Nothobranchius furzeri: one gene and its partners. The protein of the gene in region 2 interacts with the protein of the main gene of each other region in a pairwise test. Links are inferred from orthologs where the notes say so. Each region holds a gene or a part of one and is shown on either strand. Other genes may lie near its edges. The genes, in order: acot8, pex5 and ech1.

Evidence for each region.
Region 1: the proteins of pex5 (region 2) and acot8 interact in binary tests that used the Homo sapiens proteins (3 or more experiments, as listed by UniProt). The link is inferred for Nothobranchius furzeri from reciprocal best matches to the Homo sapiens genes PEX5 and ACOT8.
Region 3: the proteins of pex5 (region 2) and ech1 interact in a two-hybrid assay, tested with the Homo sapiens proteins (2 studies listed by BioGRID and IntAct, with this or other methods). The link is inferred for Nothobranchius furzeri from reciprocal best matches to the Homo sapiens genes PEX5 and ECH1.

Annotation. Positions count from the first base shown.
Region 1 is NC_091743.1:41,527,096-41,529,994, reverse strand, and holds the end of acot8 (acyl-coenzyme A thioesterase 8), read right to left. Parts: coding exon 2,876-2,899; intron 1,346-2,875; coding exon 1,227-1,345; 3' UTR 581-1,226; downstream 1-580. UniProt on the Homo sapiens protein: Catalyzes the hydrolysis of acyl-CoAs into free fatty acids and coenzyme A (CoASH), regulating their respective intracellular levels. Displays no strong substrate specificity with respect to the carboxylic acid moiety of Acyl-CoAs.
Region 2 is NC_091745.1:74,164,797-74,169,172, reverse strand, and holds the start of pex5 (peroxisomal biogenesis factor 5), read right to left. Parts: upstream 2,880-4,376; 5' UTR 2,675-2,879; intron 1,160-2,674; 5' UTR 1,118-1,159; coding exon 1,004-1,117; intron 918-1,003; coding exon 879-917; intron 765-878; coding exon 647-764; intron 537-646; coding exon 390-536; intron 281-389; coding exon 196-280; intron 1-195.
Region 3 is NC_091753.1:47,221,925-47,224,602, reverse strand, and holds the end of ech1 (delta(3,5)-Delta(2,4)-dienoyl-CoA isomerase, mitochondrial), read left to right. Parts: coding exon 1-113; intron 114-190; coding exon 191-239; intron 240-525; coding exon 526-590; intron 591-740; coding exon 741-811; intron 812-903; coding exon 904-975; intron 976-1,248; coding exon 1,249-1,399; intron 1,400-1,528; coding exon 1,529-1,633; 3' UTR 1,634-2,035; coding exon of another isoform or gene 2,036-2,077; 3' UTR 2,078-2,151; downstream 2,152-2,678. Other genes in the region: cep295 (serine-rich adhesin for platelets), read right to left, coding at 2,036-2,077, 2,152-2,248, 2,317-2,413, 2,621-2,678. UniProt on the Homo sapiens protein: Isomerization of 3-trans,5-cis-dienoyl-CoA to 2-trans,4-trans-dienoyl-CoA.

The DNA of each region.
Region 1 (2,899 bases), on a different chromosome or scaffold from region 2:
GTAACTGGTTGATTTTCAGGGTTGTTACAACAAGCCATTCCAATGGAATGCTGAGAGGGCAGTAACATGTAAATTAGGTTACTTTTCTCTGCTGGTGGATTTTAGAAAGTAAACATTTGTAAACAGCAAAAATGAGTTTTTCAGTAAACAAAGTTTAAAAAAATATCCAATTCTTTGGTAGAAAAACTGTTTTAGCCATGAAAGTGGAATAAAGGTTAACTTAATTATTACTTAATACTAACAAAAACAAAACAATGGAGGGCTGTGAGGGCAGGTTGTTATAATATAGGGATTTAAGCCAGTGAAACCTAAACATTTTAAAAATATTCTCTACAAATAAAAATGTAGTTATAGAACTTGTTTTTGCCAAATGCAAACATTTGTATAAATAGATTTTCATTCCATTTTACATTTAATAACATCCAATTAGCAGAGTCAACACTGGCCATGTGACAAACCCATCTGTAGCCATGGCCAAATAGCAGGGATGTGCATTTTTGAAATTCTGTCGATACGATACATATCACGATACAGGGGAGATGATACGATATATCACGATATATTGCGATACATTCAGTCAGACGTTACAATTTTTTTTACTGAATTTATTGAAAGAATGTTCAATAAACAGTCCAAACTGATACGTAACATGTTTAACATGAGGTATCTGAACCATGATGGAGGGATTTACATTTCAATGGTGGAAACAAAACCCATTGCACACTGCTGCCAACTAGCGGGTGGCGATTGAATTGCACAAAATGAAAAAAAAATACACAAATGTTTGCATGTAAATTCTTTCAAGATTTAGATACACAGCTTTTGAATATCGATGTAATAATCACAGGAAAAAATATCACAATATATTGCCATATCGATATTTCCGATACACAGCTTTTGAATATCAATATAATATTGCTGGAAAAAATATCACAATATATTGCCATATCGATATTTCCGATACACAGCTTTTGAATATCAATATAATATTGCTGGAAAAAATATCACAATATATTGCCATATCGATATTTTCTTACATCCCTACTGGTTAGTCTTTCCAGCATAATCAGGAACTGAGATCATTAATAATTTCACATGTGAGACTATAAGTCTTTCATTAAGACATACAGATCATGACATTATTAAATAGTCTTGTTAATCTTGTCAAATGTTATTGGCAGAATGAAAGATGGCGGTTATAATAATAATCGGTATAACTGGTGTTGCTAAAGTTTGCTGGTGTGTGTGACGGGTTTGACTCTCAGGACCCCCTCCTGGGAACACGTAGCAGCCAGGACTCCATCTCTCCTCCACAGCCGGCCTTGTGCCAGGCCTCTACTGCTCCCTGTAGACACAGAACAAAGAAAAGGTCTTTCAAGTTCAAATCCATCACCGTGCACTCGACTTCTACTTTTATCACATGTTGTGTGATACTGTGTTAAACAAACACGAGTTTTGTTTCGTTGAGAGAAAAAATGTGTAATAATTAAATGCGTCCACAGCTACGTTCCCACCATAGGAGCTGAGGAAATATTTCTGGGTGGGAAAAGGGACCAGGAGAGAGGATGGCTCGGTCCTCCCTGCCGGTGCGTCTCCACACAAATGCAGCACTTTCAGGACTTTGCACAGAAGTAAGCATATTGTGACTACTTCAGCAGTGAGTGATGTCACAGATCAGCGCCAAAAAGTATCCAAGGACATTAATGACATTAGAGGTTTTATTTGTCAAAGTACGCAGTCATTTAGTCTGTTCAGGGGACTGGCAGAAGTGCTGTGTGATGCAAAACGCAGCATCTCATGATCAGAAAAAGCATCTTTTTTATGGTTCTCCAGCAAAGCGCTGGTAATTACCAAGGATGCACCGATAACACTTTTTATCCGATACGATACTGATACTTGGATCTGAGTACTCGCCGATACTGATTACTGATACTTCTACCATACAAAAATGCCATGAACTGGAATACAGGTTTTACTTTATTCTCTGCTTTCAACAGGAAAAGTCTGTGAGGAAGATAAAAATAAAATATATGAATTAAAATGATCACAAAACTAAAATTTTAGGTGAACAGAAATGACAAGTTACAGTGAAGCTAATTTCAGGCAACTGCACTGGTATTGGCTAACTTTTGCTGATACCGATAAAGATATTGGTATCGGTGCAGCCCTAGTAATCATAGTACTGTGGGGGAGTTCCACCACGTTTTAGACATTGGGGGTTTAGAAACGGCCATTTTAAACAAAGGGGAACGTTGCTCTTATGTTTTCTTTTCACTCTTCTTCACCAGCTACTCTTCCAATTTTCCAAATGCGGGTTTTTGGCGACGTTTTCTGATGCAACTTCCTACTGAGTTACAGCCAATCAGCACGTGTTAAACACAAGTCCCAATCAGCGACTCTACCGAGCCTTTCAGAGAACATAGCCCAGTTCAGGTAAACGACCTGTGTTTGTATAGCGCCTTCTTAGGGTTCTACAACCCCCCAAGGTGCCCATTCACACGCTGGTGGGGATGAGCTACAATGCAGCAACCTGAACCCACCTACTGCCGAACCCTGGCGCCATCGTTTCCTCAGACCACCACCATCAGGTGAGGCAGGTTAAGGATCGAACCTGCAACCCTCAGATTACCGGACAACCCGCTACCTCCTGCAGTGTGTCTGTGCATGCGAACGTGCTTGTTAATGGCTCGTTTCTACGACTGACATTTTTGTGGTCCACAAGGACGATGACCTTGGCAGTTTTGGTCTGCTCTAGTGTTTTTACTCAGGAAACAGAGGAAAACAAATCAAACCCTGGGACTGAGAGCAGTCAGCGGCAAGTCTTAGAGAATATTGAAAGTGTCTGAGAAAAAAAAACAATAAAAAACGTGCTGACCTGCCCATGGACTCTCACATTCAT
Region 2 (4,376 bases):
AAGGAGAAATTAAAATCTATCCCGACACATCCGCTTAACACGACGTCAACAACATTCTCAAGGTTTAGTTCTGCATTCAGATCGGCCATCTTTTGTTTTGTCCCGTGCTCCTCTCTGCTTTTACTCCCCCACAAGTGTCTTTCCTGCGCTCAGGCTTTACCGACACTCATAAAGCGATTCAAGCTCTGCTCTCACCATTCAGTCTCCTTGTCTCCAAGGTCCCCCAGCCACAGTTTCTCCTCAGACTGCTCCAGATACTCTTCTGCCCAGCGTCCAGGATCTGCAGCAGGAGAAGGAAAAACAGTGAGCAAAAAAAGACAGATTTGTCACGGATCTCATTATAAAACAGAGAGAACGAGTGCACGGAGTGAAACACAGACTCAAATTACCTGCAGCCTCAGCGATAAATTCTTTGGTCCAATCAGCATCTGCCGCCTCGCCGAGAGCATTCAGCCCCTGTGTGGCAGCAGAGTCGGGACCCGAGAGGAACTCGGCCGCCCAGTCACCCGAGAGGGCCAGTGCTGCTACATCTGGAGCTAAGACCAGGAAATGCTTCTTAAAACTGTTTTTGCATTATTAACACACGGGAACTTCTTAAAACTGGGACATAAAGCAGATAAGATAAAAGATTATACACATGAAATACCTCTCTGTGGAGCTTGTCTGTAGCTCTGCTGATCAATTTGCTGCATTTCTTCCAACAACTGACCCATGTCAAACGTGTGTGGGGGTCGCGGAGGCGCCTGAAGGAATTCATTTACCAACTAAAACATAAAAACACAAAAAAAGGCTAAAAGTGGCTATTTGAGAGATTACATCCAGAAATCAGAAACGTGGTAAGAATAATATTCTAATGCCTGACGAAAAACATCACCGACCTCTTCCTCTGTTGCAATTTCAATGGGTGTGGGGGGAATCTGAAAAAAGTTCAAATAAATAAATAAATGATGCAGCTAAACAAAAAAAAATTAAAATAAAATAAAAAAAAAGAAACACAACTCACTGTGGGTGTCAAGCGGTGCCGCCATGCTCCTTCTTCTTTGGTCATGTGACTGGTCAACTTCATGAGGGGATTGGCCCCCCCACATTCCGCCTCCACCAACTCCCGCATCGCCATGGCAACACAAGGATGAGGCAAAGCCAACCACACCACCTAGGACTACGAACAGAAGGAAATCTTCTACTGCTGCGTTTGTTTTAAACCTTCTCAATATAACAGTAACACCCCCATTGCTGTTAGTGCAGCACAGCTGGTTAATAATAACAGGAGATCTAACACCGTTACAAATGCTTGGTGACGCTTTCGTCCTCTTATCTGCTTAAGCAGATTTCTTTCAAATATTTTAAACAAGCTTGAACTAAATCATTGGCCAGTGTGAATCAAAAACATATTTTCCACAGCAGCTGGCTAGGTTGTCTGGACTGCAGATGCTTCTGTACCTACGCATAGTAAATCCCCAAGTGGTACCTTAACAGACACGTTCTGAACAAAGCACAATGAAAAGGAGGTTTATTTTTACTGCAGATTTGTTTTTAAACGTCCGAAGGACAACTCAAATAATTTTTGCTTTGATTTTACAGTGAATGGGTCAGAAAAGAGAAACCTGGAAGCTGCACAAGTGGCTTCACGTTGCATCGACGAGTTTAAACTCCCATCTGTCATTTTTTACATCACTTCCTGGCTTTTTCGAACCGTTACTAATGAGAAAGCAATGGCCTAGGAGGCACACAAATATCATCTGCTCCGTGCTTCCAGTAAGTTCGGCTCATTTTAGCAGCAACATTGTCGATGAGAGGAAAGGGCAACAATATTTGCAAAATAAAAATAACAGATTACAGTTATTTTATAGGAATTATTTGGTATAAGTAAATCATTTGTGTCACTCACCTGATCTGCCAAAATAAGAGTAACAGCACAATTTAAACATATATACAAACAATAGAACTACTGCTGATCACTGATCTCCATGCCCAAGAATGAACAGCTGACAAAAGGGTACATTTAGCCTACTCAAAATCTCCAACTCTCCCTGGAGGGATGTGAAACAATTTCCATAATGAAATGCGTGGAACAGATTTTTAATTCCACTCAGCTCTTATTTTGTATCTAAACCACCAAGTACAGCATTACACAACCCCGTCCATGCAGGTGGACGGAGTCGCTGCTCTCATGCAGAATGTGGACGTGAGTTTTCCTACTGAATCACACAGCTGCTGCATTATGATTAGGGTCAAAGTAAGAGGCTTAGACAAAGATATTAATACAGACATTATCACTGATAGGCCACTGTGACACATGTTTGTACACAACACATCTACTCAAGAGACATGCTGTAGTTTTAATACAGATGGCCCACTTTTGTGGAAAAAAACTGAAATCATAAAAAAGATGTTTTTGAATTGTGCACACCTGTCAGTCAGCGTTCAGATATCTAATGGCCCACGCGCTAACTAGCTAAAGACCCAGCAACAACATTAGCTTTGTTATCTCTTGTAGCCTCGTGTGGGCTCAATAAACAGCACATTAAAAAGAAGATGAAAACAATTAGCAACAATTTAGCTTTTAAAATAGATGTGCTAAGTGTTAGTTGGCAAGCTAGCAACCCAGGGCCAGTGCACAGGTCTCCACCCGGAGGAGGAGTGTGTTTACGGGGTAGCGTGATGTTCATCTCACCGCCGACAGCTCCTCCTGCTGTAGCCGAACAGTCGCTCCGCGCCGCTCTGTTTTCCGTCCTCGCCGGATCCTTTCTGGGCTAAAGCTGGGTCAGAACAAATCCTCCAGCACCGCCTCACAGCCTCCGCTGTGTGTTCGTAGTAGCGCCTCTTTTCTATTTACCTTCCTCCTCCATGACCCACAAAACCTTTCACCGAGCTGCAAGAGGCTCGTAATTCTACGTACTCTACGTAGTTGTATTCTTCAAATATTTACGAACGTGGAAGTCGGGCTTCTAAAGGCAAAAGAGCACGTACGTTTACGTAAAAATATGTGCAAGAGACTAAAGTCCAACAAAAGCAAGAGATGTTCCCTTCTGTGGAGTCTTTTATTTTAGGAAAACCTATCTTGTGTTTTTAGTTTAACTAATAATTTACTGACTAATTAGTCAGCCAATATAAAGAAAAGCCTCACAGGTTGTCTTTGCAGCTTGGGTGGAGTCAGAAATATCCAGGTGGAAAAAAATAAAGATCCTCAGTGCAGCTGACCAAAGAACCCAAGTCTTTCAACATTTGGGGAAAAGGATAGTTTGGGAAAGTCTCAAAGTATAAAGGTCAAACCTGCAAACCATCATTCAGGTATTTACGGTTTTCAAGTCCTCAGGCTTTTGAGCACGAAGACTCTTCATGTTACAGTGATCAGATCAGCCAAGTGTTCTTGGGGGCCCCTTGGAAAACCATTACCACTGCACAAAAGCCATGACTACATCCAGGAATGTAAAATTGCTGTGCAAAGAGGAAGCAATAAATCAACACTGTGTAGAAACAATGATGAGGTCTTGGGACACTAACTCATCTCAGATGGACAAAAAAACAGTGGATATGTTCTGTGGTCAGATGAGTTCACATTTTTGGTTGTTCTGGACAAATAAAAGAGATACTGAGCTCTGTATACAAAAAAGAACAACCGTCAAAGTTCTCATTAGGTAATAATAATTTTGCTCATTCATACTTTTGTAAACAAGAAACCTGCAGTTCAACAGCCTGATTTAACAAATTCTAGCTCCTAAATCTAACAGAAGCATGCACTAAACTGGAAAATACGCTCATATTATTAAAAAATGCAAAATATCTGTGGATTTTTGAATGAAAACACCATTATTATTATTATTAAAGGTCCAATATGTAAGAATGACAAATGGTGCAGTGGCTACCACCATTGCCTTGCAGCTACAAGGTCTTGGGTTCACATCCTGGCCTCAAATAGTTTGCGTGTTCTTCCTGTGCACACATGGGTTCTCTTGGTTAATTGGTCTGTCTAAATTGTTCTTAGGTGTGAGTAATAATAATAATAATAATACATTTTATTTAAAAGCACCTTTCAGGACACCCAAGGTCACTTTACACAAAACACGTAATAAAATACAATAAAACAATAATAAAACCCAAAGAAGAAAAAACAGAGAGAAACATTTCAATAAAATCAGAGGTTGTAGGCAGATTTAAACATGTGTGTTTTGAGTTTTGTTTTGAAAAGGGTAAAACTGTCAACGTTCCTGATGTCTGGGGGAAGTGAGTTCCAGAGTCGAGGAGCAGAGCGGCTGAAAGCTCTGCTCCCCATGGTAGCGAGACGGGCAGAAGGAACCGCAAGATGGATGGAAGAAGAAGATCTGAGTGAACGGGACGGGGTGTGAATACTTATAAGGTCTGAGATATATGGAGGA
Region 3 (2,678 bases), on a different chromosome or scaffold from region 2:
TGGACATGGCCAATGATATCCTCCAGCCGAAAGGCGACGACGTGGCAAGAATCTCCTGGAACCTCAGAAAAACCATCACCAAATATCAAGAAACGTTCTCCGTCATAGAGAAGGTCAGAGCTCCTCATCACATGCATTGGACAAATAATGACGCAGGAATGTTAATGAAGTTATTCTTATCTGCTTGTAGTGTCCAAAGCCTGTTGTGGTGGCTGTTCACGGCGCCTGTATTGGAGGAGGTAGGGCACAAAAGAAATTCTCAAGTGACGTTCACCAAGAAGTATCTTTAGATAAAATACTAAAACTGAGACGAACTTGCTGAAGCCATGATTTGTGCTTCCTATAGGATTCACCTGTTGCATAAACAGATTTAAACACTGAACCACTGTTTTGTTTCTTTTTGAGTCACTAATTTTAAGATAGAAAACGCACAGTTAGCATGATTGAAATGTAAGTTTCATGAATTTGATTTTAGTAGAAGAAAATTAGTCAATGAGTTCAATATTAATGTTTATTTTATTTCAGGTGTTGACCTGATTACGGCTTGTGACATTCGTCTCTGCACCCAGGATGCCTGGTTTCAGGTTAAGGTGTGTTAAGCTGATTTTATCATTTGGTGAAATAAAAAATAAATTAAGACAGCAAGAATTACTCCTTTCCAAAGTTAATGATTTTTTAAACTAATATAAATGTGTAGAGATGTTTCCATAGCACTGGGTTTGTGTATTTTGACTGGACAGGAAGTTGATATTGGACTTGCAGCAGACGTTGGAACTCTGCAGAGACTTCCTAAAGTCATAGGCAGTCGAAGGTGAAACTTAACATTTTAACAAACTGGGGTTATGGTTCTTGTTATTTTCTGTTGAAATCCATGTTTATTGTAATTATCTCTTGCTTTTTTAGTCTGGTGAACGAGTTGGCGCTTACAGCCAGGAAGATGTTTGCAGATGAAGCCAAGAGCAGTGGACTCGTCAGGTAAAACACATTCCTGATTACCAGCAGGATCACACGTACGGGCTAAAATGGACTGCGGTTGTTAGTCAAGTCAGAGAAAATACTGTGTCATTAAGTTGGCTCCCAGTTTAAGTTAGGGTAGACTAGATCTAAAATGAGAAAAAGCTGCAGAAGTCCAACAAAACCATGGAAAGACCTTTAGGGAAATTGATCACTTCAACTGAAGATTAGAGGCAAATTCAACTCCTTAAACTTTCAAACTACAGCAAAGAAACCTTTTTTCCTCCCCTGCAGCCGCGTGTTTGCAGATAAAGAGGCGATGATGGCTGGAGCCCTTGAGATGGCGGGACAGATCGCTTGTCGCAGCCCTGTGGCTGTGCAGGGAACCAAAAAAAACCTGCTCTATTCCAGAGATCACAGCGTGGCCGAGGGACTGAACTATATGGTAAGAGCACATCAGATTAATATCGAGCTACCAGGATTTTTGTAGTAGGTGCTACATTCATTTTTATCAGAAAATTGCTATTCCTGTTAGTTCCTTGTGCTAAAGTTGACTCTGTTGACACTTTTCCAGGCCACATGGAACATGAGCATGCTTCAGACAGAAGATGTGATGAAATCAGCTCAGGCTGCCATGGAGAAGAAGAGTCCCAAAGCAGTGGTTTTCTCCAAACTGTGAGAGCAGCAGCAGGTTCCACCTGTCCGCTGTGGCCTTTGTGTGAGAAGATGAATTGTGTAGTTTTCAGTCTTTACTGGGCTGCTAACACCAAAGCTGAATGTAGACGTGTGTCTCCCATTGTGAACAGTTTGTGCAAAGTAGCAGGAAGCACAAATACCATTTTTACGCACGTCGTAACAAATGTTTTTTTTGGGGGGGGGGGACGGGGGGGACGGACCCCACCTATTTTCTGTTGATTTTTATCATCTTGAATTTAGCCATTTGATTGAATTTGTTAATGTTTTGCAAATCAAAAATGGATTTTCACAGCAAACTGTTTCAATAGTTTATTGATTTAAAAAAAACTAAAGTGAAATAAATTAAATTAAAACACTAAGATAATGTGACGAAGATGACTTAATGTCACTGTCGAGTCTGCTGGGCACGAAGCTTCTGTAACGTTTTCTGTGGAGAGAAAAATTCATCGTCAGCACAAATGTTAACAGGACTGAATTTTTCGGTATAAAATTAAATATTACCTTGTGGAACTCCTTTGCCTTCATCCGGTTTTTGGCATAATCCTCTTGTCTGGTCTTGGTTTTCTGCTGCTTCACCTCCTCCAGCTGCTCATAAAGTCTGCAGAGAAAAGTCTAGATGAATCCTCCTGAGTGGAAGGAGTGGAAGTGAAATTATCCAAATGGTACCTCTGAGTTCTTATGTGCATCTCAGAAAGATTATGTTTCCTTTGCTCAGGTGTGCAGATCTTCACCTTATCTGCATTTTTGAGTCTGAAGTTTCTCACTGAGGGGAAAAACACATGCAAGTTAAAACAAAAGCTGCAAATTAATTTACATTCACAAAAAAAAAAAAGAAAAAAAAGGAAAGGATGCACAGGCATGGTAAAGGAAAACGTGTTTTGTGTCCAAAAGGTCCCTACCTCTGGGTCTTGTGATTTTTTTTCATGGCAAAAGGAAACAATAAAACATGCATTATGTGTAAAATCAGTACCTTGAGGTTGAACATGCGTCTTCGCCCGGGTTTCTGTCTTTTGTTGAGGCTCTGGTGA